2 linked regions of the Arabidopsis thaliana genome follow. The protein of the gene in region 2 purifies or fractionates together with the protein of the main gene of each other region. This does not show direct contact. Each region holds a gene or a part of one and is shown on either strand. Other genes may lie near its edges.

Region 1 (15,675 bases), on a different chromosome or scaffold from region 2:
CACCCACCATTTTTGAGCTTGCCATTTATTAAACATCTCACGACTACAAGAAGTAACAATTTAAAAACATTACCATCTAGCTTCGAATCACCAAAACATCTTTTAGCTTAGCCACAAAGGGAAACAGGTCTAACGTGTAACACAAAAAAACTCAGCATCCGCAGAATACAAAAAAATCCCCAAGAGCTAGAGATACCAATTCTGGGGCCAAAATACCCATCCTTGACGGCACCACAACAGAAGCTGGTCTCGGTAATATGGAAACCTGGTGCTTCTTAATTTCAGCAATAGCATGAAAACCATTGCCAACGAAAGACTTGTTAAAGCTCAGGGTCATCTAGACTTCAATTGAATCAGAAACAATACAAGTGTTCTCAGTACAGTAGTCCCACAAATAATATCATCAACAATTGTACTACTCATGAGTGTTAAAAGAAGAAGAAAAAGAACCACTATTTCCAAATTCAGAACCTAACATGCCGTAACAAGACAGTAAAAGCAGATCAATGGGAAAACACAAAACATATATTCAGTTCAATATTGGCAAGAAACGATTACCTGAACCGAATTCTCTTAAGATCATTCCCTCCCTGAGGCAATGACACAAATGTGATGAGAACACCAGGCTCCACTTGAGCAACCCATTCCTTGACCTCATCATCCTCCATGAACACTATGGATTCTGTTCGACCACTCATAGACGTAGGTGTACCTTCTTCACTAGAAATCCCTTTTAACCTTGACTCCATTTCATTCCCCCAAATCTTAGGAGTTGAGGTTGCAGTCCCAGCTCTCTGGTATGAATAATGGAATCTTCCAGAATCTGAAGCAGCATCCGAATCAGCATAGTTTCGATTCTGATTCCGGTTTGTTGTCCCAGAACACGGTTTGCAGTTTTTGTATGCCCCTGAAGCCTTTACTGCCATGTCTTTTAGCTGAAATGAACAATAATTAGTTACTTACATACAAAAGACGCATGCTTTGACAAAAATTACAGATAAAAGAGTAACTGACAATTCATAGGAATAAATGTTTGAAGAATTATTCAAACTCAACCAAGAAAAGAAATATTGATTCAAGACTCAGAGTCAAGTCTCTACCAAACCATATGAGTCATGCTTTAACATGTTTTTTTTTGTTCTTAGCTCCCAAACAGAAACCAACAACGAAACTAGAATGGTCCCGCCATTTTCACTTGCAACCAAAACAATCCATGAAAGTGACTCAGCAGAAAGATTAATCTACCTGTGACGTCAGTGATTTAATCGCTTGCTTAGTCCTAGGGGTACCAATAACTCCGTGTTCTTCATCTTCTTCTCGAGTAGATCCGCCATTGTTGGTGTTAAGCTGCTTCGTGCAAGCTATACACGTCAGCATCTCTCACCTTCTCTTTTGACACTACTCGAACCCTATGAGATCAAACCAGAAACCCAAATCACATTTCAAGCAAAACCCAGAAGATCAAATCTAGAAATGAAGATACTTTAATACCCAAAAATCACAATTCTTGCACTGTGCAGATACAAAGAGGCAAAAAAGACGTACACTTGGAAGAGCTCCGAGATCACAGAAACGCAGCGATGAAGAGCTCAAATTGAAATGGGGTTAAATATGACCGTTACGCCAGAGACATAAATTAGGGTACACAGATCTGTATAGATCAAACCCATAAATTCGCATTTAACTCTGTCTCTGTCAGTCTCTCTCTCTCTCTTGCTGCTTCAAGCGACACAGAGAATGAGTGGGAGATAATGTCTGTATAAAGACAGAATCGATCTTTCTCTCGCTGTCTCTCTCTGTAGGAGAAGAAATACAAAGCTGAAGAAGAAGAATCTGCGGATTTGGGAAAAAAGTAATAAAAAGGCTTTGAGATTTGTTGGGCTTTTGAGTTCGTTGGACACTGCAAAAAGCTTTAAGAGTGTGGTCTACTGTGTTTCTTATTGATCCTCTGTGCCACTTGTCACTTTCGTTTTCTACTTTTGGGAAAATAATTTCTTCACAAGTCTGATTATTATATACAGTAACGCCAAACACATTAGTCATCTCTAATCTCTATGCTTAACTTTATGGTAACAAGTAAGAATATGTGATCAAAGTGGTGAAATGATTGCTCTAAAGTCTAAAGTCTAAACGAAGAACTATACTAATAGAGCGTGCAACTAAGCCTTAGCATTTTAATTTCTAAAAGCTTTGATTACTATAATACAAATTTTATAGACTTGCTCCCCACCTTTTTCTCTCTTCCTTGAAAGTTTAAGCCTTTTGATTAATTATGAGTTTAAGTACACCTTCCACATCATCAAGCAATGCATATCATGCCCTCTCAAAAAGTTAATCTTGTAGGGGTGGGCATTTGGGTACGCGAGTCAGTTTTTGGTAAAACCCGATCGGGTAAGTGTAGGTATAAATTTTTAGACATTTTTTAGAACTGATACCTGAATTTTTTGGATAAATACCCAGATTTCCCTGATCTTTGGATAAAATTTAGATAAAATTTAGTTATTTTCGGGTTCTAGTTGAGCTCGAATTTTTGGGTAGAAGAAGTTTAGGACCCAATAAGATAGATCTAAATTTTCAGGTTTGGTTTCGAATCCAATTTTTTGGGTCGGTTCCGTGTTGTTTTTTAAACCCTAATCTAGAGTTTTTTTTTTGTTTAATATGAAAACTTAGTACTTAACTTTCTCTACTTGTATTATAGACTTGTAAGAAGTTAATAACTATAAAATTCAATTGACAATGTTTGAGATATAATCTCTTTGGATATATCTCAATTGACAAATAATTTGAGATAATTCTAATAATGTTTGAGATATAATCTCTTTGGATATACTATATCTGAAGAAGTAGTTATTGAGATAAATATAGCTAATTAACTTTTGAATAACTACTTCTTCAGATATAATCTAATAATGTTTGAGATATAAACGTGTGAGATATAATCTCTTGTGAAGAAGTAGTTATTGAGATAAATATATCAACAAAGGTGTTAAGCCCAAACAAGTTAAAACGGATCAAAACAAAAGGCCCAAAAACTTAATGATACGCTCATCCGTAGGTGATCACACCCTCGTAAATACACAACACAACGATCTGTCCTTAAATTCCCTCAATTCATTGAAAAGTTTGCAACAACGAAAAAAAAATCAAATCAAAATCTCAACTCTAGAGATTTATTGTTGACCCGTTTACCGCGATTCTCTCCTCAATTCGCCGGTAAACCCCTAACTCTGTCGGAAAACCCTAATTCGCCGCGACGGAAATTACCAATACTCGTTTCCTCGTAGCATTGGATTTTTAAAGCTGTTGATTCCAGCTTTGTTGAGGTAAATATTATCTTCCCAGATATCTATCTTCTGATTCTGATTTTATTGAGGTAAATATTATTAATTTGATTCAAATTTTGAGAAGTTGGTGATTCAGTTGGTTGATTTAGGGTTTCATTTGGGTACTCTGTCTAGGCCAAATTCGTTTTGTATTGAAAATTTTATTCTTTGGATTGCAAAAAGTTGTCTTGTTTATTATTATTTGGTAAATTTGAATTTTTGTGGTTTGTCATGTTATTTGTTCTTTAGAGCTGTGATTATGATTTGTTATTTGATTTGATGTATGAAGCCTGCGCAAGTTTGTGTCTTTCGTAACATTGAATCACGTTCAATGTAACATATTTCATTGCAAAATAGTTATGGGATTCAAATCCTTGGTTAGTGGATAGAACACCAATCTTCTAATTTTACGTTTTGTTGTATGCCTATTGTGCTGGAAAATGGCTAGCAATATACATCTTATTGGCAGTTTTTGGTTGTTCTTCCCATGGCTCATAATCAGAGTTACTTTATGGTTTCAGTTCTATAGTTCATTGATAATTCATAGCATACTTTTTTCCCTCGGAATGTGCAGAACATTCAGGTTACTTCTCTGTATAGGGTTTAGTTGACGAACCCCTAGTAATATGGAATTGACTGTGACATTCTATCTAAAAAATATAACTTTTACATCGCATTAAGAAATCTAAAAGAAGTTTTGATGCCAGCAAGAATGCGAATTGGAGGGCCAGTTTGCATATTAGGCTCATCGTACCGTGAGACGGTTATCTTTATCATCTTATTGAATAACCCGTTTATTGATATTTTCGTTTTCTTCAGGTTAAAGCAACTATGAAGCCTGTTCTTCACTCGGGTTCTTCATCCAATGGATTTTCACACAGGAGATTTGAAAAGGAGGCATGGATGAATAACGCACAGCCTTCTGTTGACAATACAGGTTTTGTATATATATTTCGAGACATATACATATATACCTTTACTCTGATGTAGCACCAACATCATGTTCTGCGTTCTCTTGTTTGTTGATACATATGTGCAGAAAACGGTTGGGACGCTGAAAGTGTGGATACCCCTTCTCAGAAGCTGTTAGTGTATTTCACAACTTGTAATATTGGACATCAGGTAGAAGTTCATCTCAAAAATGGATCTGTTTACAGCGGCATATTTCATGCTGCTAATGTGGAGAAGGATTTTGGTAAGGCTCTGAATGAGAACCTGTTTGTTCCTTTGAGATGGTATATAATATAAGAAGAGGTCACATTTTTTTTATCCCTTACAAACTGCTATGAAACTTTCAGGAATCATTTTGAAAATGGCATGCTTGATTAGGGATTCACGAGGAACCAAATCCCGTACTGTCAGCAAGCCATCTTCAAAGCTACTCAAAATCCCTGCTGACGAACTTGTGCAAGTTATAGCTAAGGTATGTACTCCTTTCTTGCAGATGGGATTGGGTTTTATGTTCACATGAATGCAACAACATAAGACTACTTGGTGTTTTGACATTATTATTCTTTCGTCATTGGTCTATTTGTTAGGACCTTCCTCTATCCAGCGATAGCGTCTCAGATTCTGTTCAGTGCGAGAAACCTTTAGAGCTGTTGACAGACTCTCTGATATCACAGTTTTATAATGTTGATTTGGAAAGAGAGCTGAAACCTTGGGTACCTGATGAAGATGTTCCAGACTGTTCAGATCTGGAGAATGTGTTTGATGATCCTTGGAAGAGGTAATGATGCTATTCATTAAAGTAGGATATTTACCTTTTTGTTAGGATTTCTGTTTTCTGATATAGAAACTGTTTTCTCTATTTCATTTTCCTCTGTGTTTACTTTTGTGAACTAAGTTAGAAAGTGCTTTGGAGGTTGTATCGGGTTAGGCTGAGGGAGACAACATCGTTTTCTCGATTTCTATTCTTGGTACTATGATTCTTTTTTTAATAAAAAGAGTTTTGTATTTTATTCATGTTCTTGATTCTTAACTCTAACAAGTAGCCATAGATTTATTTATCCCAGTTCAATTCCTCCCATTGGTTGGTTAGGTTGTGTAAGCGGGCTACACCGCCTTGCAGTTGGTTGGACCAATATGGGGTTTTGGTGGGTTTTGCGAGTAGGCCTGTCGTTTATAAAATTTTCATTTTTCTTTACTTTAAGTTTAATTTTTATACAGAATCAAATAGAAATATAGTATATAATACATGTAATTTTCAAAATAAATATCATTTTACTTAGTAAATTGAATATAAAAAAGCTTTTTACATATATTGAAAATTACATGCGGGTTAGTGTGAGACCTCTGTCCGCAGTTAGTTAACCCTGTTCTCTTTTCTTATTCTTTCATCATGTACACTTCCTGGGTTAACGACACTTCTCATGACATCTTATATGTGTGTGATGATATCGTAGGGGCTGGAATCAGTTTGAGGTCAATAAGACATTATTTGGAGTAACAAGCACTTTTGATGAGGAACTGTATACCACAAAACTTGAGAGAGGTCCTGGAACGAGGGAGCTAGAAGAGCAAGCCTTAAGGATTGCGAGAGAGATTGTGGGTGAGAATACCCGAGATATTCACGTAGCAGAGGTGAATTATGGATGTCTTATGTGACACTGAATTTTTACGTTTTATTGTTGTACCATATTTCACCTCTAATGGTCATGCGTGCAATCATCTTACACAGGAAAGAGGGCTCCAGCTTAGTGGAAAGTTTGATATTGATGAGGAAACCAAATACTCATCGGTCTGTGCGACTAATAGATTTGATGATACGTGTTATGAAGACGATGAAGAAGAAGAAGAAGATATATTATTGGATTGCTGCAACAATTTGACTTTTGGTGATTCTTCTGCTTCTGATGGCAAGGAACCTGCTTCAACTGGCAAATTCTATGAAGATTCATGGGTATGGTTGAGTTCTTCACTCCTAGTAGTTTCTAGGAGAATCATAGGTGATATTGCCATTTTTTGTCCTTCAGGGTGACAGCCTGCATTTACGGAGTAACAAAATGGTAGATCAGAGCTGGTCGAACTCAAATAAGCATACTCGCCAGCTTATGTCCGAACTGCCATCCAAAGATTTTCCTGTTGCAGGAAACAACATCAGGTCTTTTTCCCTTTGAACATACAAAATATCTTTCATTGAACTAGTTTCTGAAACTCATTCTGATAGGAATGAGAGCCAGCTTGGTGAGCAAAGAAAGAGCAAATTCCTAGGGGCTTCCCTTTTTAAAAAGGTATAAAGTTAAACGACGCACCTTGTGTTGATTTGGCATTTGCTTAATGGAACATTACATATAACACTGTTCTGTTGGCTTCAATCTGTATTAACGCAGCCATCTGAGGAATCAGTGTCTGGTTTTGAAGGTATGTGCAACTTCAGCTTATCGAATCTATCTACTCCCGTTTCATCTTATATGTTGATACCAATTGAATTTCCTACTAAGTTTTTAATTGCCACCTCAATGAAGATGCACCACCACCTGTGAAGCCAAGTTTCATTGATGGAAGACTCGGTCTACTCTCTGACAGAGCAAAGTCTGAGAACTCTTCTGGGTGGCCTGGAAGCTCCATTTCTAGAAATTCAGAAAACTCTGCAGCTTCCTCAGCATCAAATCTTCCAATACTGTCACCAAGCTCTTCGGGTTCTTTATCATCAGAAAAATCCACACTCAACCCAAATGCTAAGGTTTTTTTCTTAGTGCTTAGGTTATCATCTAATATCTCCTTAATACTATAAGCTTTTTACTAACGAAATTAGGTCCGACCAGGAATTTAAACTGAACCCTAACGCAAAGAGTTTCAAACCATCTCCATCAGCAACACGTCCTCAATCTCCTCAATCTCCAGTCTTTGACGGATCATTCTATTATCCTCCTGTTCCACCCATGCCAGGACTACATATTCGATACGGAGTAACTTTTCTTTATTCTTTATCTAGTGATCAACGCCTAAATTACTCTTTAAGTCTCTGTTATTATGTTTCTGATTCACTAAGTTGAAAATTGACAGACGGGAGCAGCATTCCCTGGGCAACAACACCCAATGATGTATAACAATACAACACAGCTTAGTCCGAATCAAACATATTATTCTCCAAATAGTCCACAGGTTTGTTTATTGCTATTAATAGTCATTACTCTTGAAAACTCTTTACCTTCTCTCTATTGTAAGACTGAATTTTGGAATCAATGTTAAAACAGTACCCACAACCGATGATGGTTACTCAGCAGAGACCAATCTTGTTCATGCCGCCAACGCCATACCAACCGGTTTACTACTTTACTTCAAAATTCTTGTTTTGTCTAGTTACAAAAAAAAAATGATCAACAGAGTTAGATTTTGCTGACATCTTTGATTTTATTGCAGGAGATGCCATACAAAGGAAGAGACTCTTATTAGCTTTTGGCCAAAACCATGAATGGTGGTGGCACAAGAGAAGGTCTCGAGCTGATGGAATTGGTTTCATTTAATGTACTTTATTTTTATTTATTTCCAAAGCACCGAATCTTTTCATTTTTATTCTAAAATGAACACAATTGATGTGATGGTGATTTAGTTTGTTTAGGTATTAGACTAGATTTTACATTAGATTCGTGCTGATCTCATTTCTTTATTCACTTCTGTTGTGTCTCCCTATTCAAACTTTAACGTTAAATCTTTTAGTTGTATGACATATTCTGTGTGGAGTTTGTTTTATTTATATAAAAACAGTTAGGTAGGAAAAAAAACTTTTTCATTTGTGAAAAGGAAAATCAACGATTGTAGTTCAATCTTACATATACGTGTTAAGACATGGTAGGGAAAAAGTGGAGTGCGTCTATGATTGGATTTGAAAGCGTAATGTTTAAAATTTGGAACTATTAGATTAATAATGGGTTTAGTCTTGTCTTGTCCTAAAATGCATATAAATCTTATTGCGGTGTGTTAAGGATCGAGGTTAGGGGAGATTCGAAAATATTAACTTTGTCGTGTTTGAAAATATTAGTTTAAGTAAGTCTATAAACATAAACATAGGTAAATCAAATAATTGATTTCTAAGAACTTCTAGATACTGTTGATATATAATAATAATATTTGAAGTAACACCTGTAACTTCCCTCGTTCGAAGCATGATAGTTACGCATTTCTTTTCTCTAAAGCAAATAAGTAAAAGGTACGTGTAGCAAACAACAATTAATCTTCCCCACAATACAAAGTCTCGTATTACTTCAATTATTACTAGTTAAACAAAGTGTCATTGTAGTGAACTACAAATAGGTGTCCAAGAAATAGAAATGTTGCTATATACTATATTCTTTCTTTTGGAGTGTATTTATAGTGTTTTTTTGTCTTCCTTATAATTACTATTCAGAGTTGTGGATTAAATGCAGAGAGATAGTGCAGAAATTACGATTCATTGCTGCTTTGTGTTGGGGAAGCTGCATCAAGAAATGTGAAAAAGGGCTCTTTCGCTTTGCTTTGCTTTGCTTGACTTGCAATAATATCAATTACCCCAACTACAAATATAAAATATTTTTAATTTATTCGCTTAAATGCTACTATATTGATTGCGCTATAAAGAGATGTTGACAACCTTCCACTTAAACTTTTGCTTTTTAAATTAAAAAAACACCTTCTTAAACAAAAACAAAAACAAAAAGACAGAAAAAAAAAGTACGCTTAGATAATACATAATTACATATCTTCAACTATATAAACAATGTTTTAGAATTCTGCACATTTTTGTTATGAAACAATTAAGGAATATGATACTTCAGATACCCTCTATATATTATTTAGAATCTTTGAACCTTGTAATATATATGCTGAATAGAATCGCATATAAATTGATAAAACATCACTGATATGAACATAAAAATAAAGGTGTTAAACATCTTTGAAATAAATGGAAATATTTACCATAAACATTTTTACTTTGGTTTTTCTTGTCTTCTATTTTCCTTCCTAACATTTTAATACTATCATTTATATATTTAGATATATTTCTAGCCTTGTCTAGATTATACACGCGTCACACTTCTAAATTTATATCTATCTTTTACTAGATTTTTCTATTATTTATTGTTGCCTACATATTTCTATTTTGTTTTGTAATAAAACTAAACCTGATTTGAAAATTATAAAAGCACTACGTGACACGATTTGATTCGATATACTTAATTTTTGAAACATAAACAATATAAACAAAGATAAGAAAAAATACCACAAATAGAAATGTCAAACTCTGCAAATAAATTCAGAAATGGAAACAAAATAATATTTTAAAATATTTAATAAATTGTGTGTGAATAAATATGCATTTGTTGAGAGAAGAAAACCATAATTAAAAAAAAAAAAAGAGAAAAGGAGTCAAGATTAGTCTTTTAAGCCATAGCCAATACCCAATTTGCAGAGACAGAGGAAGAGAGAGAAAGATAGTGAAGAGAAAGAAACAACCATGTTCTGAGGAAGGAGACATGCATCATCATCATCATTCATCATCATCATCATCATCATAATCTCAAGCTTATTACTTAACTTCTTTTTCTCTCCATCTCTTCTTACCAAATCCAAAGCACCAAAGGTCTCTCTCTCTCTCTCTCTCTTCTTGTTCGCTTAATTTATTTGGTAGTGATGTTATGATTTGGTTGCTCAGTTTCTACTTATGATGATATAATTAAAAATAATAATTTTTGAGTTATGAGAGAAAAAAATCTTTTGGTTGGTTTCTCTGTTTTCTTGGATCATTAAGTTCAATGAGATTTGATGAGTTTTTTTATCTGTTCAAACTCAGAAATTTAATCTGTCGATTTTAGTTTTTGTTTGCATGTTGTGTAAGTTCTAGCCATGTTCAAAGTTTGAATCTTTTGGAACCCTTTAGATCATGAAACAATCTTACTGTGTCATTGAACCTGGAATCTGTGTTTTAGGATTGCTTTTATAATCTTTTGGTATCATTTCTCTCTTGTATTTGTTGATTATGTGGATCATGAATAATATCATATGATTTATGACTGGACTTGTTGGTTTGGACATTTAGTTTATTGAAGTAAAGATTTGAAGACAATGCAAGTGTTTCAAAGGAAAGAAGATTCATCTTGGGGAAACTCAATGCCTACAACAAATTCAAATATTCAAGGATCTGAATCTTTCAGCTTGACTAAGGATATGATAATGTCTACAACACAATTACCCGCGATGAAACATTCGGGTTTGCAGCTGCAAAATCAAGATTCAACCTCATCACAATCTACTGAAGAAGAATCAGGCGGCGGTGAAGTTGCAAGCTTTGGAGAATATAAGCGTTATGGATGCAGCATTGTTAATAACAATCTCTCAGGTTACATCGAAAACTTGGGAAAGCCTATTGAAAATTATACTAAGTCAATTACTACCTCGTCGATGGTGTCTCAAGACTCTGTGTTTCCTGCTCCTACTTCTGGTCAAATATCTTGGTCTCTTCAATGTGCTGAAACGTCACATTTCAATGGTTTCTTGGCTCCTGAATATGCATCAACACCAACGGTAATATGCTGTGAAGCCTTTTGTGCTTTTACTATTCTGAATCGATCTGGCGCATTGATTGGTTGATTGGGAAATCTTTTTGCAGGCGCTGCCACATTTAGAGATGATGGGTTTGGTTTCTTCAAGAGTGCCATTGCCTCATCACATTCAAGAGAATGAACCAATATTTGTCAATGCGAAACAGTATCATGCGATTCTCCGTCGCAGGAAGCACCGTGCTAAACTCGAAGCTCAGAACAAACTCATCAAATGCCGTAAAGTATGACTGTTTTCACTTTCCATTTTGCCTAAAACACCAAAGAGAAAGAGGGAAAACTAACTCAGAAGATCTTGATGATTTGATGTAATAAAGTTTTGTTTTCTTTTTCTGTAGCCGTACCTTCATGAGTCTCGCCATCTTCATGCTTTAAAGAGAGCTAGAGGCTCCGGTGGACGTTTCCTCAATACAAAGAAGCTTCAAGAATCATCAAACTCACTGTGTTCTTCTCAAATGGCAAATGGACAAAATTTCTCTATGAGCCCTCACGGTGGTGGAAGCGGAATCGGGTCTAGTTCGATCTCACCGAGCTCCAATTCAAACTGTATCAACATGTTCCAAAACCCGCAGTTCAGATTCTCAGGTTATCCGTCAACACACCATGCCTCAGCTCTCATGTCAGGGACTTGAGGCACATGAGAAGACCTTGCTCCGAGAGAACTCAGGCTAAACTCCGGAGACTGGTGATGATACATGACGGGAAGTCATCCTTGGCTACTTATGTTATCGGTTACAAAATTTCTTCCTTTTAAAAACTTTGCTTTCATATCCTCTACAATCTCTCACTCTATATTGAGTGACTTGACGAACTTTCAAATCATTGTCAAACTATTTTGTTAACTTCCGATTCTCTGAGAGTACAAATTGCATTACCCTATTACATACAATGAGAGAAGATTCAGGGTCACTAAGAGTAATATACACGCATAGATCCCCTAATGCTCTGAAGACAAACTGGACACTTAGGGTTTAACTCTCGTTCCACGGTTGAAGCACATCGCCTGCAACATACTACATGTCCACAGGGAATAAACGCAGGTACTCTCCTTCTTGACACGCAGATCACACACAATTCTCCATCTGGGATTTCATCTGCATCTTCGGGTTCATCATCGACCACAGAATCGTTCGGTCTCTGTGGCAGTTCTCTCTGATGGTTCCATTGTTTCCATTTATTCCAGGTCCTGAAGATAAGACAGTTAAACAGATTTCAAATCGAAACATTGCCCAAATCTAAAACCAAATCTGATCTCTCACAACTCCAGTACCTGACAGCAGCATAGCTAAGGATGCCAACAGACACAATGCCCAAGATAACGCTGCCCAAGAATATAAAGTTGGTCTGTTCCATAAGGTCCTCAATCATCTTGTCCTTGGTCATCTCTGATCTGCAAAGATTATTCATAAAGATTTATATATGAACAGCAAATAGAGCCTTTCTGCAACAATGGACTAAATCTTGTCAAATGATCAACAGATTGAGAAAACATAAAGAAGAAGATGAAGTAATAATTTGAGCTAGAACGCAGGCAGATATATAAGAACGAAAAATATTCAGATAAAATCTCACAAGAAATAAGGAAGATCTTGGCACGATTTGATTTCAGGAACTCCATTATTAAAACTGTAGATGCCAACAGCTGTTATATCTTTCCCAGGTGGTAAAATCTTCTCTATATCAAGCAGACCAACCTTGGAAGAGAAAGGATTACAAAGTTAGCCAAGAACAAGTAACCATCAGTTCCTCAAAACCAGAAATTTCTTTGAATATATATATACTCACAGGATAATCGGGGTACAAAAAGGCTTGAAGAAACGAAGAATTAATAGGCTGCAAGCGATTATACACAGTGGTAAGCGGAAGAGGTTGCCTTGAGCCATCCATGTTAACAGCGACAAAACTAGAGTTCGATTGCTGATCCTTTCCAACAATGACAAATGGGACCTGCACAAAGCAAAGGATACACAAAACAAGTTTGATCATGGATACAGAGCCAAAGTTGAAAGCTCTGAAGCTGATAGAGAGACTTTACCGTTCTCGTAAAATCAGCACCGTGTTTGCGCAATGATCTCTCCAACATAAACCGGTGACCAGTGGACTGAAACAATCTCTTCCATCCACTATACACATACTGTCAACAACAAAATGATGACATTAGAAACATACATTTCCCTTCTGAGATCACACCAGTACCAACTTACATAATCCTAACTTAATCAATCACAATGAACACCTAATCATGAAGAAATCATCCAAACTCTTTAACCTAAGCCTTTGATAAGAACACAAAGCAAAATTAGGTCAATGTCAATTGCAATTTGAGGGAAACATAAACACTTAGGGTTTAGAGCAACGTACAGTTTGCGTTCTCTGAATGATAAGAGCTTTATCTCCAGTCTCCGGAGAGATTAACACGTTGTTGTTCTTGTAACCCTCATCACCGGAAATTTTCGGTTTGACGACTCCGCGAACCACAACGATTCGCTGATCATTGCTCTTCCTGTTATCGTTAGTCTCTGATTTGTCTTCAGAAGCCGGAAGCAGTGATCGGAGGTCGGAAATGGAGACTTCGGGTGCATCTTTGATCTTCTTCAACGCGGCGTTGGTAGAAGCATACTTGAGAGCAGAACCGACGGCGCTAACAGCTAAAGTCAGTCCGAGGATTGCGCCGTCGAAGGAGAGAGCGATGTCCGTCAATAGATTCAAGAGAGCACGCTCCGGCGAGGACATTGTGGTAATTTCGATTTCAACGTCGTAGACACGGTCACACGGACAAGTAAACGGAAGAGAAATGAGGCTATTATCGGTATTTAATATTATACATTCGACCGTCGTTCTAATTTGGGTCTTTAATGGGCCTATGCACGAGTGAAATACAAAATACTAGTAATAAATAGCGTTTTAGTTAAATTACATTTACACCCTCAACGTTACAGCAGATTTACAAACCAAAACCATAAATATCAGATCTAGAGTGGCAGAGATTAGTATTTCCCGATTCCTCGCCGCCGTTCATCAATCTCTCCGTCGTGTTTCTGCCACTAGCTCTCCACCAAACTTTCTCTCTCGCATTAGGTATTTATCGCCTCTTTATGGCATATAATCTTGTGTTTTGGAACTTATTGATGAAGCTAGGTTAGAATCTCCTTTGTCTTTCTTATCTCCGATTCGTGAAGCTCTAATTCTTATTTATTCGATTTATGTAATGTGTTGCTGTTACACGATGTTTGCTTGTGAGATTCGATTGAAACTTGTGTTGTTGCAACATCAATTCTGTATAAGAAAGGTTCTTAATTTGACTCTGTAGCTTTACTTTTTTTTTAGTTGTTTAGGGATAAACATGGCAGGAGAAGGTGAAGAAGATGTACCTAGAGATGCTAAGATTGTGAAATCTCTGCTTAAGTCGATGGGTGTAGAAGACTACGAGCCTCGTGTGATACATCAGTTTCTGGAGTTATGGTACCGGTATGTGGTCGAAGTGTTGACAGATGCTCAGGTTTACTCAGAGCATGCTAGCAAACCCAACATTGACTGTGATGATGTGAAGCTCGCTATTCAATCCAAAGTTAATTTCAGCTTCTCACAGCCTCCTCCAAGAGAGGTATGCATTGTTGACGATTCCATGTTTCTTCTTCTTCATTGTCTGAGAAGAGATGCGATATGATCGGTCATTTGGTATATGTGAATCATTAGGGAATTATCACTCTTACTTATGACTTATGAACTGTGTGTGACCCTCTTGCCTCATAAATTGTATCACTGAGAACCTCAAGTTTTTGTCTGTCACATCCATGCCTTTTGGTTCCTGAATCTTGAAGTTTCTGTTTTTGATGTTTGATTTAGGTTCTGCTTGAGCTTGCTGCAAGTAGGAACAAGATACCTCTGCCAAAATCGATAGCAGGACCCGGTGTTCCACTCCCACCTGAACAGGACACATTGCTGAGCCCAAATTATCAGCTCGTGATACCGAAGAAGTCGGTTTCAACAGAACCTGAAGAAACCGAGGACGATGAAGAAATGACAGATCCTGGACAGTCCTCTCAAGAACAACAACAGCAGCAACAACAAACCTCAGACCTTCCAAGCCAAACTCCTCAAAGGGTCTCTTTCCCACTCTCTAGACGACCCAAATAAGTACCCAAATAAGTAGATAGACCAAAAAATCTATAATATTTATGTATCAACAAGTAGAAATGTAACACAATCAAAAATTAATGACCAGAGCCAGTTTTTATGGACCAGATCCAGATGTGTGGTTTGAAGATTTAGAATGTAAGAGAATCAAATATTAATGACCAGAGTCAGTTTTTTAGAACATATAGGCATATCTTATATACACTGTTGTGTGGGAATCAACAATACCGAAGGTACAACAAATCTTCTGAAGCATTATACTATATATGCAACTATAGTATATATACATGAACAAAGGTAATTAAGAGAATCAGTTAGCTTCCCCAGCCAACCATGGTACCAGTAGCTGCACGGTGAGGCCGTGAAAACGCAAGCCCTCGATCATACATCCGCTGAATTTCCTCTCTGTATTCAGTCAGAGACTTGTCAGGTATGGCTGGAGTCAGCTCCACCACATCTCCCATCTTCAGCTTGCATTTCAGATCACTTACAGGTGTCTGGTTAAGTCTTGGCCTTAGCTCTTCCTTTGCCGGGATGCTGTACATTGACCATCTCGAGCTCCCTGGTCCTGCTCTGCGTAACAGGTCCGACACGGTAGAATTCTCGGGAAACTCTTGCACAGTCATCTGCATTTTCGGGTTTATCAAATTATAACTCCAAGCAAAGAAACATCCTCA
Region 2 (18,071 bases):
GCTCCTTGAAAGATAACTTAAACGCAGAAGTGGTTTTGGGAACTGTAACTAATGTAAAGGAAGCCTGTGCTTGGCTTGGATATACATATTTGTCAATTCGGATGAAGTTAAATCCTTTGGCTTATGGCATTGGATGGGAAGAGGTGCGTTATTCTTTGCATTTATGTTTTTTAAGCTCTAGTAGTGTACATGGAGATCTTTGTGATTTTGTTTATGCCATAGTGGTTTTGAATCATATTATAATACTGATTTATATATGTACCTAAAACTATTCTGACCTTGTTACTCATCACAGATAATTGCCGATCCTTCTTTATCCTTGAAGCAACGAGCCCTTGTTGCTGATGCTGCCCGTTCACTGGACAAAGCTAAGATGATGAGGTTCGATGAGAAAAGTGGAAACTTTTACTGTACCGAGCTTGGACGGGTTGCAAGTCACTTCTATATTCAATATTCTAGTGTTGAAACATACAACGAAATGTTGAAGCGGCACATGAATGAAAGCGAGGTTTTCAATAATCATTCTGTTTTTCTGATATTTTCTTGTTTCTTTGCTGTGTAACTAAAGTTTAATCATTACTTACTGATTTCAAATTTTCTGGTGTAGATAATTAATATGGTTGCCCATTCTTCTGAATTTGAAAATATTGTGGTAAGAGAGGAAGAGCAGCATGAACTTGAGACTCTTGCACGCTCTTGCTGTCCCTTAGAAGTTAAGGGAGGCCCTTCTAACAAACATGGAAAAATTTCGATTCTTATTCAGGTGACTGACTTTCACTGTCATTTCAATATTATACCTATGCGATGAAACGGCTGGTTGATATCGAGTTCTGATATAGTGGCTTTATGATCTACAGTTGTACATATCCCGTGGATCAATTGATGCATTTTCTCTGGTCTCTGATGCTTCATACATTAGTGCTAGTTTAGCACGTATAATGCGTGCTCTGTTTGAAATATGCTTGCGAAAAGGCTGGTGTGAGATGACTTTATTTATGTTGGAATACTGCAAGGCAGTTGATCGTCAACTATGGCCTCATCAGCATCCTCTTCGGCAATTCGAAAGGGATCTGCCTTCTGATGTAAGCTTCTGAATACTATTTTTACTTGTAATATGTAATATTTTCTCTAATTCATCTCAATTGATCAGATATTAAGAAAACTTGAAGAGCGAAGGGATGACTTAGACCATTTGTATGAGATGGAGGAAAAGGAAATTGGAGCGCTGATTCGTTATAATCCTGGGGGAAGGGTATATAAATCTTAAGTTCACTAAGTTACTGCATGTATATATGGAAAAAAGCACTAATGTTTTTTGGTTTTTTGCTTGCACTGGAATTTCTAGTTGGTCAAGCAGCATCTAGGATATTTTCCTTCAATTCAGTTGGCAGCTACTGTTAGTCCAATCACCCGCACTGTATTGAAGGTAGCTAATGGAGAGATTCTTCAATAATTTATAAGCTTTCAGACGACAAACTATCTATCAACATCTAATTTGTTACCATTTTTAGGTGGATTTGCTTATAACTCCAAATTTCATATGGAAGGATCGTTTTCATGGTACTGCTCTTCGTTGGTGGATTCTCATTGAGGTACTACTATCTAACTCCCATTAAGACACATATGTCACAGTGACAAAGAATGAGCTGTTTGTAACGATATAGTATCTCATGTTATAGCACTACTAAACACTAGGAAGAGTCAATACTCTGTGCTAGATACTAGTTAACTAATGATTTCTTCTTCAATAATGCTAACTCTTTTGGCAGTGTTGATATAACGCTTGTCTTGTGCTATTTCTTCGACAGGACACAGAGAATGATTATATCTATCACTCAGATCTTTTCACACTAACGAAGCGGATGGCTAGAGGGGAACCACAGAAGCTTTCTTTTACCGTACCGATATTTGAACCACACCCACCACAATACTATGTTCATGCGGTTTCTGATTCTTGGTTGCATGCAGAGACTTACTTCACAATCTCTTTTCACAATCTTGCACTACCAGAGGTATATATCTTCTAGAGGTTGCTATTTCCGAAATAGTTACAAGATCATTTCTACGCTTAAATTATCGGTAAGGTAGGTCCTAACAGTCTTCTTCATTCAGGCGCGGACGTCTCACACAGAGCTTTTAGACTTAAAACCTCTTCCTGTGACTTCTCTTGGGAATAAGTTGTATGAATCGCTTTACAAATTTTCACATTTCAATCCAATACAGACTCAGGTTTGAGCATATTTACCCTGTTACTCTCCTAATTTTATATTAAAAATGTTTTTCTTCATCACTCCTTTTTTAGTTAACTGAAAATTGTATGGTTTGGTGTTGCAGATTTTTCATGTGTTATATCACACAGACAACAATGTTCTTGTAGGAGCTCCAACTGGAAGTGGGAAAACTATATCTGCTGAACTTGCAATGTTGCGTCTCTTCAGTACCCAGCCTGATATGAAGGTATGAGTTTTCACTCTCCTAACGCTTGGTAATTATTTAGTTCGAGACTTCGACTAATGTTTCAGTTTATTATACATGATTATGTTTCAGCTAAATTGCCAGCCTTTTACTGAATCTACCTATTGAAATGAAGAAATGAATCTCTAAAATGATATCAAATCACGGCTTAGTTTAGTTTCTAGTGTTCTATTTTATCTTACTGAAGATGCCTAAATTTTTGTGGCTTGCAGGTTGTTTACATAGCACCACTGAAGGCTATTGTTCGAGAAAGGATGAATGATTGGAAAAAGCATCTTGTTGCTCCACTTGGAAAAGAAATGGTAAGAGGATATTGCCTCGGAGCATCTATACATGTTGCAGACTCATAATCCATGATTGCTGTTTATTTGGCTACCAAATATTATTCCTAACACTTGCATTTCAACAGGTTGAAATGACTGGAGATTACACTCCAGATTTAGTAGCTCTCTTGTCCGCGGACATCATCATATCTACCCCTGAAAAATGGGATGGCATTAGTCGTAATTGGCATACTCGAAGTTATGTCAAAAAGGTAAATTTTTGTCAATAGATTGCCTTTTTTGTGAACAGTAACTTATGATGTTCTGGGGATATAGGTCGGCCTTGTTATTTTGGATGAGATTCACTTGCTTGGAGCCGACAGAGGACCGATTCTTGAGGTAGAAGCTTAATAACTATTATATCCCATTTTCTAAGTACTTACGCTAAGCTCCATCTATTGGTTAGAAGTTTCCAGTTATATCATGACACATGCAATGTATCTATGGTCTTGGTGAAGAGCTTATATCTTTTCGGCTCAGGTTTTTTCAAAGTTATGTGTTCCACCAGATTTATTTTTGATCTACATTTGGTTTCCAGGTTATTGTATCTAGGATGAGATATATATCATCACAGACAGAGCGCTCCGTCCGGTTTGTTGGGCTTTCTACAGCTCTGGCAAATGCAGGGTTCGTATTTTAACTTCTCAGACTCTTTGAATATGCTCTTTTCTATGTATTATCATTAAACACGCAACTGAATGTTCGAGCTGGTAGACTGTTATTCGTGTCTTTTCTGTGCTGATGACATTGTGCTTATAGTGTGATTTGTGAGTGAAAGACTTTCAACTTTAGTCTTATTTACTAGAAAATGTTAATGTGGAAGATGGCTTAAGATATACCTTACTCCCAATTTTTCTGGTAGCCAGTTTTACTTATTCTCTCAAGTCTCCCTTTTCAGTGATTTGGCTGACTGGTTGGGTGTTGGGGAGATCGGACTTTTCAATTTTAAACCAAGCGTCAGGCCTGTACCAATTGAAGTTCATATTCAGGTAAGTCAATATCTTTTCTCTAGTTTGCAAACAATTAATACCTTTCTTAAACAAAAAATTTATGTATGTCTCCTACACTGTACTTGACTACGCTATTTAATTTCCATTTTCGGTGGGTGGATTAAAGGTATTCAAGGAAACCATACAAGTATGAAATTTCCAGACTTAACCTTGTTTATTGTTTTCAGGGTTATCCTGGAAAGTATTACTGCCCAAGGATGAATAGCATGAACAAGCCAGCATATGCAGCCATATGTACTCATTCACCTACGAAACCTGTTCTTATCTTTGTTTCATCCCGTAGGCAGACAAGGCTTACTGCATTGGATCTTATTCAGGCATGATTTATCATCAAACACCGATACCGAATCATCTTTTAACTATATAACTCTAATTTGTATCATCCTTTGTATCTTCTTTTCCTATGAAATGAAGTTTGCTGCCTCCGACGAACATCCGCGGCAATTTCTGAGTGTGTCAGAGGAAGACTTGCAGATGGTCCTCTCACAGATAACTGATCAAAACCTTCGACATACGTTGCAATTCGGCATCGGACTGCATCATGCAGGTTTAAACGACCACGATAGATCTGCAGTCGAAGAGCTTTTCACGAACAACAAGATTCAGGCAATTTCCTCAACATATTCTCTCTGCTGCCTTTACCGTATCCATGGTTACACTTTTACATTACGATTGATGATGGAATCCATGCTTCCATTACAGGTTTTGGTCTCAACAAGTACCTTGGCATGGGGAGTGAACCTACCAGCTCACTTAGTTATTATAAAGGTAAAAGAAGGTCCTCTTCTATTATTATGTTTGGGATCACTTTCTTGGATTTTCTCCTCTAATGATTTGTCTTTTCTCTTTAATACCGTTGTTTTTGGCAATGTTTCCTATCAGGGAACAGAATATTTCGACGGGAAAACCAAAAGATATGTTGACTTCCCTCTTACAGAGATCTTGCAAATGATGGGACGTGCAGGGCGACCACAGTTTGACCAACATGGGAAAGCGGTTATTCTTGTACATGAACCTAAAAAAAGCTTTTACAAAAAGGTCAAGCTCAGTTGGAATTATTTGGCAATTTTTGGTATCCGTTGCAACAATTTACCTCAAAAAGATCATACTTCCTCTGCATGCAGTTCTTGTACGAACCATTCCCCGTAGAAAGTAGTTTGAAAGAGAAGCTGCACGATCACTTCAATGCGGAAATCGTCTCTGGAACAATAGGCAACAAAGAAGATGCAGTGCATTATCTTACATGGACGTATTTGTTTCGTAGACTGGTAAATATGCTTCAGTTTTATTAAAAAGCGAGATACTACTTGAGAACGTGATTCTGGTTCCTTGAAAAATTGTGCTAAAAGCATGATCAGTTCCCTGCAGCCAGATTCTCTTTTTCCTTTCAGATTTTTCCATTACTGCAGAATAACCAGTTCATGACTCAATCTGGTATTTGATGTAACAGATGGCTAATCCTGCTTACTATGGGCTAGAAGGTACTCAAGACGAAACAATCTGTTCCTACTTATCAAGGTAAATATCAAAGTTATTAAATAAAGAAGATTTCTCTAACTAGAACCATTGTAATATTGGTGTATGCGGGCTGCTTTTTGTGTAGATTGGTGCAAACCACATTTGAGGATCTTGAAGACAGTGGTTGCCTCAAAGTAAATGAAGATAGTGTGGAGCCTACGATGCTGGGTACAATAGCGTCACAGTATTACCTTTGCTACATGACCGTGTCTATGTTTGGCTCTAATATAGGTCCTGACACATCGCTTGAAGTAAGAAGCTGATCCAGTTTATATTGATTATTCTTTTTGTTTTTCTTTGGTTTCTAACCACTGCCCTTTAGGCATTTTTGCATATCTTGGCTGGTGCTTCTGAGTATGATGAACTTCCTGTGCGGCACAATGAGGTCTGGTCTATACTGTTTTACTTGACGAATATATGGTTCATTTTTAAAAGTATCTTTAGTGATATGGTGTCAAAAAAAAAAAAAATCTGTGTCCCTTAGGAAAATTACAATAAAACACTGTCAGATAGAGTTCGGTATCCCGTGGATAATAACCATCTAGATGATCCTCATGTGAAAGCGAATCTGCTCTTCCAGGTATGTACTTCTTCACACTATCATGCACTGAAGAATGAAACAAAAATCCAAACTGTGTGAGTTCATGACTTAGGCCCTGTTTGTTTGTCCATCCACATGATCCATCCAAATGGAGATGAAAAATGATGTTTGTTTTTGACAATTTAACAAGCATTTGGATGGATCATCTGGATGATACATCTGAATGAGTATCTAAATTTAGGCAAATTTATGAAACTCATTTGGATGAATTTGATTAAACCATTTGGATGGAGATGTTTCATCCAAAAATAACAAAAAACTAATATACCCTCATTTATAGTCATAATTTAAATAATTTTATTTTCTATAGATTTCTCAAAAAATCATGAAATCACGTATTATTCTTTTATGTCAAAATCGTAAAATCGTGGAATTGCGTTTTTTGGCCAAAAATCGCAAAATCATAATTTTTGATGTAAAATTATAGAAATCGCTATTCCACCTAAAATCATAAAACTATATTTACGCTGAAACCACTAAATTATATTTTCTTGCCAAAATGACAATATTATGTTTTTCCGCCAAAACTGCAAAATCATGTTTTCCTGCTAAAATTGCAAAATCATTTTTCCCGCAAAATCATATTTTCCCGCCAAAACCGTAAAATCGTATTTTTCCGCCAAAACCGTAAAATCATATTTTCCCGCCAATATGTTTGGTATTGATAGTGGGTAATAATGTTGAATATTTGTCATTTGTTAAAATGAAAACATGGGTATTTTAGTTATTTTTATCTAAATGAAAATGTGAATGAACTACAAAATGATCAAACAAATAAAGATCCATTTAAATGCATCATTTATATTAAATTACAAATAACGAAACAAACATCATTCAAATGTATCATTCAAATGAATCATGTAAGTGGATCATTTGAATGGAAATGATAAATGATGAAACAAACAGGGCCTTAATCATATAATTCATGATTGTTACCATCTTCTTAATGCATGACATCCATTGCTCCAGGCACATTTTTCTCAATTGGCACTTCCAATCAGTGATTATAACACGGATTTAAAGTCAGTACTGGATCAAAGCATTCGGATCCTCCAGGCCATGATTGATATCTGCGCAAACAGTGGATGGCTCTCAAGCTCACTGACGTGTATGCGCCTTTTGCAAATGGTCATGCAGGTAGTGTCCTGAAGATTACTACTCTTAGCTTGTTCAAATTATTTCACTTTTGCAAATTAAGAGGAATCCAATTCTCTTTTTAATTCTAGGGCATGTGGTCTGATCAAGATTCGTCATTATGGATGATCCCATGCATGAATGACCTTCTTCTAGGATCTCTGACCGCAAGAGGGATTCACACGCTACATCAGCTATTAAATCTTCCAAGGGAAACTCTACAAAGTGTAACCGAAAACTTCCCTGCATCAAGATTATCTCAGGTGCTCTCAAATTGGTCACAACTATTTCTTTTGCATTTAATACTTTCACTCATGGAGTCTCAACTATTCTCTGCTGCACTCTTCGATCTTAATTAGGATCTCCAACGATTCCCACGGATCCAAATGAATGTGAGACTCCAAAAGAAGGATTCCGATGGCAAGAAAAAGCCTTCAACGCTGGAAATCAGATTGGAAAAGACATCAAAGAGGAATAGCTCGAGGGCATTGGCCCCTCGATTCCCAAAGGTTTCACTTAAAGACTTAACCACAGATTAGTTTGAGCTCGAAACAAAAATGAAATTGAATTCAACACGTTTATTTTGTGTTATAGGTGAAAGACGAAGCGTGGTGGTTGGTTCTTGGTGATACTTCAACTTCTGAGCTCTTTGCTGTGAAGAGAGTTTCGTTCACTGGTCGTCTGATCACACGCATGGAGTTACCTCCCAATATAACCTCTTTTCAGGTACAAACAATTTTCAACTTATTTTCTCAAACTAAATCATTCTTTCTTACACTTCTATGTATATATTATTATTGCTGAATTGGTTTTTTTTTTTTTGGCCAGGATACGAAACTCATCTTAGTTTCGGATTGTTATTTGGGGTTTGAACAAGAACACTCCATTGAACAACTTGCACGACGCGGATGAGCCATTAGATGATGGATTGTAGTAACCCCATATTTTTTTGGAATTTGTTTTATATATTGTCAAAATTTTCTTAAAATTCTGGTTTTTTTTTGTCGTCTTCTTAATGTAAAACCAAATTTTACCTTACGTTTTGTAATAAAACAGTGTTACAGATCTTTTGAGATACATAAGAAAAATAATGAAGAGCTTAAGGTAAATGTGTTAATTTTACATAACGTTATGTAGAACAGTGTTACAAAAAAATTGGGCTACATGACTACATAATAAATTAATCAAGAGATTAAAACTAAATGTGTTTACTCTGTGACAGTCTGTTTGGTAAATTTGTTTGGGTCAACAAGTTTACGTTATTTTGAACTATCTCCATATCAAATTACCAATTATTCATTACAGTTACAGAAGGGAAATAAAATCCATTATTACATGAATTTAAAAAAATCATGATTCTGTCTTTATTTTGATTAAAACGAGTCTAATTCCAGACTACATTATAACAAATGGACGAAAGGAGAGTGAAAGATTTGACGAACATGATTAATCTTCGTCACTGTCATCAATCACGGCCTTACGACGATGAGTCGGAGCTTTTCTAGGCGGAGACTCCTCCTCGTCAGACTCAATCCCTTTCCTTTTCCGGCCACTTCCACGGTGATCCTTCTCTGCCCTACCTCCCTGCATAAACCACATTTCACCACACATTACAATCTCAATGAACTTCCTCATTGACAACAATAAAAATGGAAGAACATTCTAATTTGCGTACCGCAACCTCTTCCTCTTCTTCATCTTCATCTGAGTATCTGTTAGATTTTCCTCGTTCCTCTTCATCTTCTTCTGCATCTTCCTCATATTCATCTTCTGAATCCTTGCCCCTTCCACGGGCCGGTGACTTTTCTTCCTCTTCTTCTTCCGTCTCATATTCTGATTCCTCTCTCTCACTCTCAGAATACTCCATTTGACGTCTTGACGGTCTGGCCGAAGTCATTGAAGACCTCCCCGGAATGCCTTTGTGGCTCTGGTTTTACCCCAGTGAGAAGCAGTTGAATATTAGTTCAATTTCTAATGCTTTTTTTGCATTCCGAGATATATGAGTTTTTGTTTTGTTTACCTTCTTGGCGTTTAGAATCCGGCGTTCCCGTTGCGCTTCAGCTTCGAGATCTTCCTCATAGCCACGGTTTGAGCGGTAATCCTCGTCATCCTGGTTCCAAGAAACAATCAGTCGTTACTAGTGCAATCTTTGCTTTAGAAAATGGAAGAACCCAATATACACAAACTAATCAAACAGACCTCATCAAGAGCATCTTCCAAGTAGCCAGTGGAAAGTTGTCTCCTTTCAACAGGAAGTGGATACTTGCGCTTGATTTTCTCCCTCGCCTGACTCAGCTTTGTACTAGCCTTGAGGTTTTGGCTTTCCGCCTTCAGAATTTGAGATATTAAATGAGAAAAGTCTACAAACACTGCAATAAAACTATTGTTGGATTGTCTGAGCTCAATTAAGAGGTAACCTTTTCTCTCTTCTCCTTCTCCCTCTCAGGGTCAATGTCAGTGACACAGTTCTTAACTTTGAAGGCCTTCTTCTGCCTCGATTCAACAATGGCAGTCAAGAGCCTATGGGAATTTGACGTCAGCGATGATGGGGTAAATCTCATTTTCTTCAAAATTCTTCCTTGTGATTGAAGGATACCCTACACCAACATCCAAATAAGACAACACTTTGAGATATAGCAGAGTTGGAATGCAGGAGACATTTGGTTTCCTAATGAGAAGTTTTGTCATTTAGTATAGAGAATCGTATGGGTGCTCTAAAATGAATCAGTGTATCTAGGAGGCTGGAGCAACTACAAATTGATCGCTAACTAAGGCAGAAGGAATGACGAAGTAACACCTTTTCATGTTTGATAAAGAGGTGATTCTGGTCTTCTTTTGCATCTTGTTCAGTTATGTTAAGAACTTCGTTTCCTATCAATAGCTGTAAGCTTCCATCTGACCACCTTACAAACCGAGCATTACTTTCACTCTGCATACGAATATAGAGTGACTTGAGTTTACTACAGCAAAAGTAACGGAAAAAGTAGAAGAAATGTGTGCAATAAGCAACAAAACCAAGAATTCTTGTTTATGGGCAGATTTCTAATGAAGCCTAAAGAATAAGAAGAACTGTTGAACAGAGATATCATAAAATTTCATCTCCAACTATATGAACACATGTCCGTAGTGAAAAGCACAAAGTAAACTAATTCGGAATACATAAATTGCATCAAAAGTATGTACTTATAATACATCATTGCATCAGAAGTACTAGTAATAGGCAAACTACATAGCTTCATTGCAGGTTTGATGGAAAATTTAAAAGCAGAAAAGCTTTGAAGAAGTGTTCACTTACATATGTTTTGCCATCTCGACTCTTAACAAACCTATGGCGAACAATATTATTGTCCAAACGGATACGATTCTTTGCTCCGGGTTCATCTGTCATGAATGTGTCTTCTTCAACGAATGTTTTGGCATCAAAAGGCTTTGGATCAATCCCCATGATATTGGAAACTTTTATCATGTTCATCTGAAAAAGATCAAAGAGAAAACGGTATATGAGGAAGCGCAATTTTGCTACAGAACATCTTCACTACAGATAGACAACTAGAAAATGGGGTTTCAGATATAAAACAGAATAGCACGCTCATGTACACCAAATGGCCCTTCATGCTAAGTAAATGTAGAAGCATGTTTCAGTGCAATGGTTCTCCACATAAAAGACATCAGATACTCACTCTTCGAACCACAATGATATGAGAGATTTTGGTAACTTGGAAATACCAGAAAGGAAACTATTGATTTGAAGCCATGTCAGCGAATAATCTTTTAGCAACATAAAGCAGGTATACCTTAACGGGGTCACCTGGAGGAGGGCGGAAAGGAACCTCCACTTCCAAAGGGGGACCAACTGGCCTCTCCCTGTACCTAGCTTCAACATGTTCAGCTTCTGACTCGTATTGAGGATCTTCTTCAGGGATTATATCATCAAGCACCATATCATCGGGTCTCAGATCCTTCTCAGAGCCCTCTTCATCTTCGATTGGCGATCTCTACAAAATTAGACATCTCATCATACATACATGCAATTTCATATGGTTTCTAAAAGGAAGCAAACACTGGAAAGGAAACAGATATTCTGTAAACTGAAATGTAATATTAGATGCAAGACTCACATGTTCATCCTGCTCAACGTCATTCCGAACATATTCTTCTGCGTCTTCATCATCCGAAGATCCGAAAACATTACGAATATTTACGTCTGACTGTGCAACTTGAACCTCTTCCTTCTCCTCACTAGGTGATCTACCCACCACGCCATATTTCCATGTACAAAAGACAAAGTGATCCATAAGAAATTTGAAAATCCAAGGAACCTCAGAGGACTAGCAAGTATTATTAAATCCAGAGCACAGAAAAGATCAAAAAGAAGCTATGAAACAGCTAGGAAAAAAAAGAATGGAAAAAGGGGTACCTTGGACTCCTAGTCTGATCAACCTCTTCATCTTCAGACTCATAATGCTTTTCACCAGACCTCTCTGATCCGCTCTCAACAACCTCCTGTCTCCTCTTTTTGGCTACTCTACCCCCATGTTCTTCTTCTTTGTTATCACTATCACTATCTCTTGCTTCACTTTCCTCTTGTGGATCAGCCTCCTGTGAACTTTGCTCCCTCTCACCCTCACTTTCTCCAGGATCAAGTTCTACATCTCCCTGTTCCCCGTCAGACTCAGCTTCAGCTTCTCCGTGAACTTCAACCTCAGCTTCACCTTCTCCTTCAGGCTCCACCCCGCCCTCAGCCTCATCCTATCAGTGTTTACATTGGAAATTTCAGCCACAATTTCACTGATATCTTAGTCTAGTTGATATTAAGAAGAACTGAAGCTGAATTAGGCCTAATAAGTTGCATTGGTTCCTGCAATTAACCTAAAACCCTAAATTCAAGCGAGAAGAACTCCAGAAACCATTCGTATTCCAAGGTGTAATTGAAGAACAGTGGCAGTGAAAAATACGAAAACTGAAACAATCAATAGTGACGAAACGAAGGAGATAAAGATGGAGAGAGTTACGGAAGCGTAGTTAGGCTGACGACGATTGCATTCATGTTCGGATTCGATCTCTTCTTCCTCGGAATTATCTCCGAACAGATTAAGCATCATCTCGGATCTCTTTTCTCCTTTAACCATCTTCGCCTCACTTACTCAAAAGTCACTGCCTCTTAGCTGGTGACGGCGGCTCGTGATCTGAGCTCCGACGAAGGGTTCACTGTTATCGGCCTTTGTTGAAGAAGCTATTTTTTTTTCATCTCTACCTCGCGATTTTATGGCATCAGAATTATTATTATTAAAAACAATTGTTACAACTTACAAAGAAAAGGAAATTTTCATCGATATATCTTTTTTAACGCATTACCGGATTATTAAAAATCATTTTTTTTACGTGTAACGACGACTAGAGAGGGAAAAAAGATGGGATTTTATGGGCTTTTTTGAGATTGGAATTCAATATTTTTGGCCCACAAATTTTGGGTTATGGATACCAGTTTCTTTGTGATAGTGAGCTTGTGTTTGCCTTGGCCCCTATGTATATGAATGATACAACATCCTTTTAACTGATTCTTTTGGCCCCTATTTTTTTATATTTAATTTATTTTAAAAACTAATTATTAACTTCTTTGATCAAATAACTTGAGTTGCCAAAATAAATGTTATGTCTTCTTCTAAAACATTGTTGTTGGTTTATAGATTTTATCTGCTTTAGAAATTAACAAGAGACAAAGATTAGGTAAAAGCATAACCGACTTGTGTTCTATGAAAACTTAAGTGACAACTAAACATCATGAATATTCAGGAAATCCTGAAAATTTAAACAGAATTATAGTAATTTCTGAAAAACTCAAGAAATTATGGAATAAAAAGAAAAAAGAAAAAACTATGGACACTTTTAAATTACTCAAACTAGTTTAAGGCTTTTGGAAATTTCACTTTTTGCTTTTTTTTAACTCGAGAAAATTACAATTTTATGTAGACACATTTTGCTCACAAATGTTTATTTATATATTTTCCATAAATTTATTTTTCAGCCTTTTATCTACAAAAATTTATCTTCTAAGAATGTTTTTACCACCAAAAATAATAAATATAAACCACAAAAATAAAATTATATATTTTATATATATATATATATATATATATATATAACAATTTTTATCTATGATATCTGGCAGTCGCAGTTGGCTTAAGCCGCCTGGCCGCCTCTGGAGGGACCAAAATAATTCAAATGGTAATTACGTGCCTTGGCTTCCAACCAACGTTTTTGACTAGGGCTGACTCGGTAGCTTGTTATGTTAGTATAAGAGTTAACTCCATCTGATACTCAGCTGAATAAACTCATACGTACAAAGGAATATTATCTAAAAGACGAGAGTACAAGTGAGAAATGGCGTTAAAGGTGATCAAGATCTCCCGAGTCAGCCCTGCAACCGCCTCCGTCGACCCGCTCATTGTCCCACTCTCGTTCTTTGATTTACAGTGGCTTAAACTCAACCCTACCGAGCAAGTCTTCTTTTACAAACTCACCGAATCATCATCATCTCGCGACGTTTTCTACTCCTCCATCCTCCCCAAGCTCGAGCGATCTCTTTCACTCATCCTCACTCACTTTCGCCTATTCACGGGTCACCTTAAGTGGGATTCACAAGATCCAAAGCCGCATTTAGTTGTTCTCTCAGGAGACACACTCTCTCTCACAGTGGCTGAGACTGATGCGGATTTCTCACGTATCTCTGGCAGAGGGCTTCGTCCAGAGCTAGAGTTACGCCCTCTAATACCCGAGCTACCGATTTATTCTGACTCGGGGGCTGTTGTATCTCTGCAAGTCACTTTGTTCCCGAAACAAGGCTTCTGCATTGGAACCACAGCCCACCATGTCGTCTTGGACGGCAAAACGGCTGAAAAATTTAACAAAGCATGGGCTCACACTTGTAAACATGGCACCATACCGAAAATTCTACCAACGGTTTTAGATCGTTCTGTCGTCAATGTTCCAGCCGGACTTGAACAAAAGATGCTCGAACTTCTGCCGTATCTTACGGAGGACGACAAAGAGAACGGAAGAACCCTAAAGCTACCTCCAGTCAAAGAGATTAACGCTAAAGACAACGTCCTCCGAATCACCATCGAGATAAGTCCTGAAAACATTGAGAAACTCAAGGAGAGAGCCAAGAAAGAGTCAACACGCGCTGAGCTTCACTTGTCAACGTTCGTAGTCACGTTCGCCCATGTGTGGACATGCATGGTGAAGGCACGTAGTGGTGACCCAAACCGACCGGTTCGTTTCATGTACGCTGCTGATTTTAGGAACCGGTTAGAACCACCAGTCCCTGTGACATACTTCGGGACTTGTGTCTTAGCCATGGATTTCTATAAATACAAAGCTAAGGAGTTTATGGGAGAAGATGGATTTGTCAACACCGTCGAGATTCTCAGTGATTCGGTCAAACGTTTGGCTTCACAAGGGGTAGAGTCAACTTGGAAAGTGTATGAGGAAGGAACAAAGACAATGAAATGGGGTACACAGTTGTTGGTCGTAAACGGGTCGAACCAGATTGGGATGTACGAAACGGACTTCGGGTGGGGAAGACCCATTCACACTGAGACAATGTCTATCTACAAGAACGATGAGTTCTCTATGTCCAAGAGGAGAGATGGTATCGGTGGCGTCGAGATTGGCATCTCTTTGAAGAAACTTGAGATGGATACTTTTCTGTCTTTATTTTACAAATGGATTGGAAACTGAAAACGTACGGTCTTAATCGATCCCAGCTTTTGCTTATTTGTATTTTTATTTCTAGTTCAATAATTGCCCTATATGTACTACGCAAATTTGTATTGATTCTGTCTTTTGAATTCTATTTTTTGGGGTACAATAATCATCCATATTTGAAATATTAGTAGACTTTTCATGATCAGTGAATCTATTTCCCCCTACTTTGAAAAATCGAAACTTTGATTTCAGAAAAAAAAAGCTGTGATACGCAGTGGCGGAGGTACAGCTTCAGGAGGGGGGTCACTTGACCCCATGACTTTTACAAAAAAAAATTTAATAGCTTAATTATTTGGTATTTAGTATATAATTTGGGTTCAAATATTAAATTGACCCCCTTACTCGAAATTCAAATCCTATTTTTGCCCCACTCAATTACCATATTTTGTGTAAATCAATCTCATTATTCTTCTTCTATTAATTTCCTGAACCCTATATTAAATTTTGGTAACTGGTTTTATTATTCCCCTAAAAATACATGAATTTAGATAGACAAAACAATTAAATAATGTGGGTACTAATCTTTACATTTAGATAAACAAAAAACAATTTTAGTAACAAAAAAGATGTATATCATTTTTCACCAGATTTTTAGTAAACTTTTAAATAGAAAAATGATGAATAACATATGACTACTCGTGTATTTTCCACAAAGAATTTTTTTTCGGAAAAACAACAATAATTTACGAAATTGTGATATTATTTTTTGTTCTATTTTTTTATCTATAAAAAATTTTTTTTTAAAAAAAATCCTTGTTTTAATTTTCTCAGAAACGTGGGACCACAATATTTTCCAAAGGGTTCAGAGTTTAGCGGGCCGAATATATGTCATAGGCCCATAGGCTAAAACAATAAGGGTAGTTATGTAAAATCCGCTCACACACACTCCTCAAAAGCCCTAATCGTTTATCATAATTCCTCAATCCCGTCTTCAAGTATCGCCGACGCCGCAGCACAAAGGAGGAGAAGAAGGATCAAAGGCGCGACAACAATGGCGACAGGTAAAACAGTGAAGGATGTCTCTCCACACGAGTTCGTCAAGGCTTACGCTGCCCATCTCAAGCGTTCCGGCAAGGTAACGAATCGTGATTCTTAGCTTTTGGTCCGCATCGTTTGTCCCTAATCTAGTATTTTGATTGATGTTTGGGATTACGATTACCTCATGAAACTGCAATGATCACTGCCTGATTGAAACTTGAATTTGGCCTTACTCTAGAGCATTTTGAATCGTAACTACAAATCTCAATAAAGTCTAAACAGTGATTTGCTAGTGTCATTTCAGTGAAGATAGGTTTCTGCTTTTGATTCCAATGTTGTTCCTTCCATGTAGATTGAGCTGCCTCTGTGGACAGACATCGTCAAGACTGGTAAACTTAAGGAGCTTGCTCCATATGACCCTGACTGGTACTACATCAGAGCTGGTATGTATATATAACATCTGGTCAAATCTTCTACATATTGGATTTAGCATTGTCTTTATCTGTTCTATTTAGCTTCCATGGCTAGGAAGGTTTACCTGAGGGGTGGTCTTGGAGTTGGTGCCTTCCGTAGGATCTATGGAGGAAGCAAGAGGAACGGAAGCCGTCCTCCTCATTTCTGCAAGAGCAGTGGTGGTGTTGCTCGTCACATTCTTCAGCAACTCCAGACCATGAACATTGTTGACCTCGACACCAAGGGGTAAGTATATTGTCTCTAGTTTAGATTTCTCATTGGCCTAAATTAAGTTAATACACTGGTACAAAGAAATTGTAGGAAAATAAAAATTGTATAACACAAGTTAGACACTTGGATTCGATTTTCGCTTAAGAAATCTGCTGAAACTGTAATTGTGACCTATTAAAACTCACTAGATGAAGTGTGTATAAATGGTTTTAGAATGTACTACTGCGTCATTTACTAATATACCTATGGAAGCAATTGTTCATCTTCGCTAGCTTATGATTACATGTTCTGATGTAACCAGTGGAAGGAAGATCACATCAAGTGGTCAGAGAGATCTCGACCAAGTCGCTGGAAGGATCGCAGCTGCTGTCTAAATCATAGCGACTGATGGTCAACTCCAAGTTTAAGGTTTATGTTTGAGATTTAGTAATGGAATGAGTTGCATTTGATGAAAACCAGTAGTAGAATTCCCTCTCATTTTTGTTTTGATGAGTTTTCGTTTACAAATTGCCTCTCTTTTTATTCTCAGCGACTTATGGCTTATATATTTGATTTCATCTTTGACCTCCTTTCCTTTCTATTTCATGAAATTAGTTATCAAAATTTTGATAATGGCTTGTTTAGGTTTTTACATTTAAGCTCCTCGTTCTTCTTCAAAATCAAAGTGTAGAAACAGAGATTACCAATAACTAATTGTGAACGTTTCAAAGTTTTTAAAATTTCTTGTAAACGGAGGTAACCATTAAAAAACGAATTACATTTATTATTTTGTAATATTCAAAACAAAATCAAAATCTTGAGAATCGAAACCGTTACGTATACTACAATTTATATGATCACATTTTAAATTTCGAAAATTGAGGGACATTTCAAATTCAAGAAAACATATACTCCACTAATTTAGGGTGTCTCCGTTAGTTTCTAAAACTCGTTGCCCCTTTTAATTCCAGTTCAAAAGCTCACGCCTCATACACAATCTCTAAACCCTGACCTCCCATTTCAGTTTCTCTGTTTGAGAACACTTGATTTCTTTTAAAAATGGCGGCTACAGTAGCAGAGTACGCAACTGCTAAATCATTGGCGTTGCTGGACACAGAGAACCGCGAGGTTCTCAATAGTTTTGATGCCATTTTTACTCATGGCAACACCGATCAAGTCGCTCCTCTTGATGAGCCTCTGGTCTTTAACCGCTTTGGACTCAGTCACATCTCGGCCAAAGACACCCATCAACCAAAAACGGACGTAGATGAATCAGCGAAGGCGGATTTCGCTGGTGCAAAAACGTCAGTTTGGTGGGACATTGAGAACTGCGAGGTTCCAAAGGGTTGTGACCCTCATGGGGTTGCTCAGAGCATTAGATCAGTTCTGTCGAAAAGTAACTTCTGTGGTCCGCTCACTATTTATGCCTATGGTGACACAAATCAAATCCCTTCCTCTGTACAACAAGCTCTCTCTTCCACCGGCGTATCTCTCAATCACGTCCCTGCCGGTTAATCTCTCTTCTTGAAACACCTGATTAGCTATAAATTAAAGTATGAATATTTTGGAGTTAGTGAGACCAGTCTTTGCTTTGTAGTCTCT

Evidence for each region.
Region 1: the proteins of VIP4 (region 2) and TAFII21 fractionate together in Arabidopsis thaliana (co-fractionation; one large-scale study listed by BioGRID). This does not show direct contact.

Annotation. Positions count from the first base shown.
Region 1 is NC_003070.9:20,213,399-20,229,073, reverse strand, and holds TAFII21 (TATA binding protein associated factor 21kDa subunit), read left to right. Parts: upstream 1-13,808; 5' UTR 13,809-13,939; intron 13,940-14,188; 5' UTR 14,189-14,204; coding exon 14,205-14,465; intron 14,466-14,707; coding exon 14,708-14,998; 3' UTR 14,999-15,175; downstream 15,176-15,675. Other genes in the region: BRX-LIKE3 (BREVIS RADIX-like 3), read right to left, coding at 1-43, 197-274, 559-935, 1,246-1,377; CID3 (CTC-interacting domain 3), read left to right, coding at 4,155-4,260, 4,363-4,518, 4,622-4,746, 4,862-5,052, 5,729-5,906, 6,004-6,225, 6,299-6,426, 6,493-6,556 and 6 more; NF-YA5 (nuclear factor Y, subunit A5), read left to right, coding at 10,368-10,826, 10,912-11,085, 11,200-11,493; SPL2 (E3 Ubiquitin ligase family protein), read right to left, coding at 11,771-12,047, 12,132-12,251, 12,434-12,555, 12,647-12,808, 12,897-12,995, 13,223-13,594; RSH3 (RELA/SPOT homolog 3), read right to left, coding at 15,313-15,624.
Region 2 is NC_003076.8:24,595,339-24,613,409, forward strand, and holds VIP4 (leo1-like family protein), read right to left. Parts: upstream 12,388-18,071; 5' UTR 12,191-12,387; coding exon 12,074-12,190; intron 11,811-12,073; coding exon 11,479-11,810; intron 11,310-11,478; coding exon 11,180-11,309; intron 11,057-11,179; coding exon 10,856-11,056; intron 10,534-10,855; coding exon 10,357-10,533; intron 9,991-10,356; coding exon 9,859-9,990; intron 9,659-9,858; coding exon 9,479-9,658; intron 9,390-9,478; coding exon 9,261-9,389; intron 9,172-9,260; coding exon 9,082-9,171; intron 8,989-9,081; coding exon 8,737-8,988; intron 8,646-8,736; coding exon 8,508-8,645; 3' UTR 8,296-8,507; downstream 1-8,295. Other genes in the region: AT5G61140 (U5 small nuclear ribonucleoprotein helicase), read left to right, coding at 1-143, 296-508, 608-763, 858-1,082, 1,151-1,252, 1,346-1,426, 1,512-1,592, 1,809-2,012 and 21 more; AACT1 (anthocyanin 5-aromatic acyltransferase 1), read left to right, coding at 13,443-14,801; AT5G61170 (Ribosomal protein S19e family protein), read left to right, coding at 15,820-15,903, 16,159-16,249, 16,322-16,505, 16,792-16,864; AT5G61180 (Putative endonuclease or glycosyl hydrolase), read left to right, coding at 17,529-17,979, 18,067-18,071. UniProt on the Arabidopsis thaliana protein: Component of the PAF1 complex (PAF1C) which is involved in histone modifications such as methylation on histone H3 'Lys-4' (H3K4me3). Involved in regulation of flowering time. Required for the expression of the flowering repressor and MADS box gene FLC.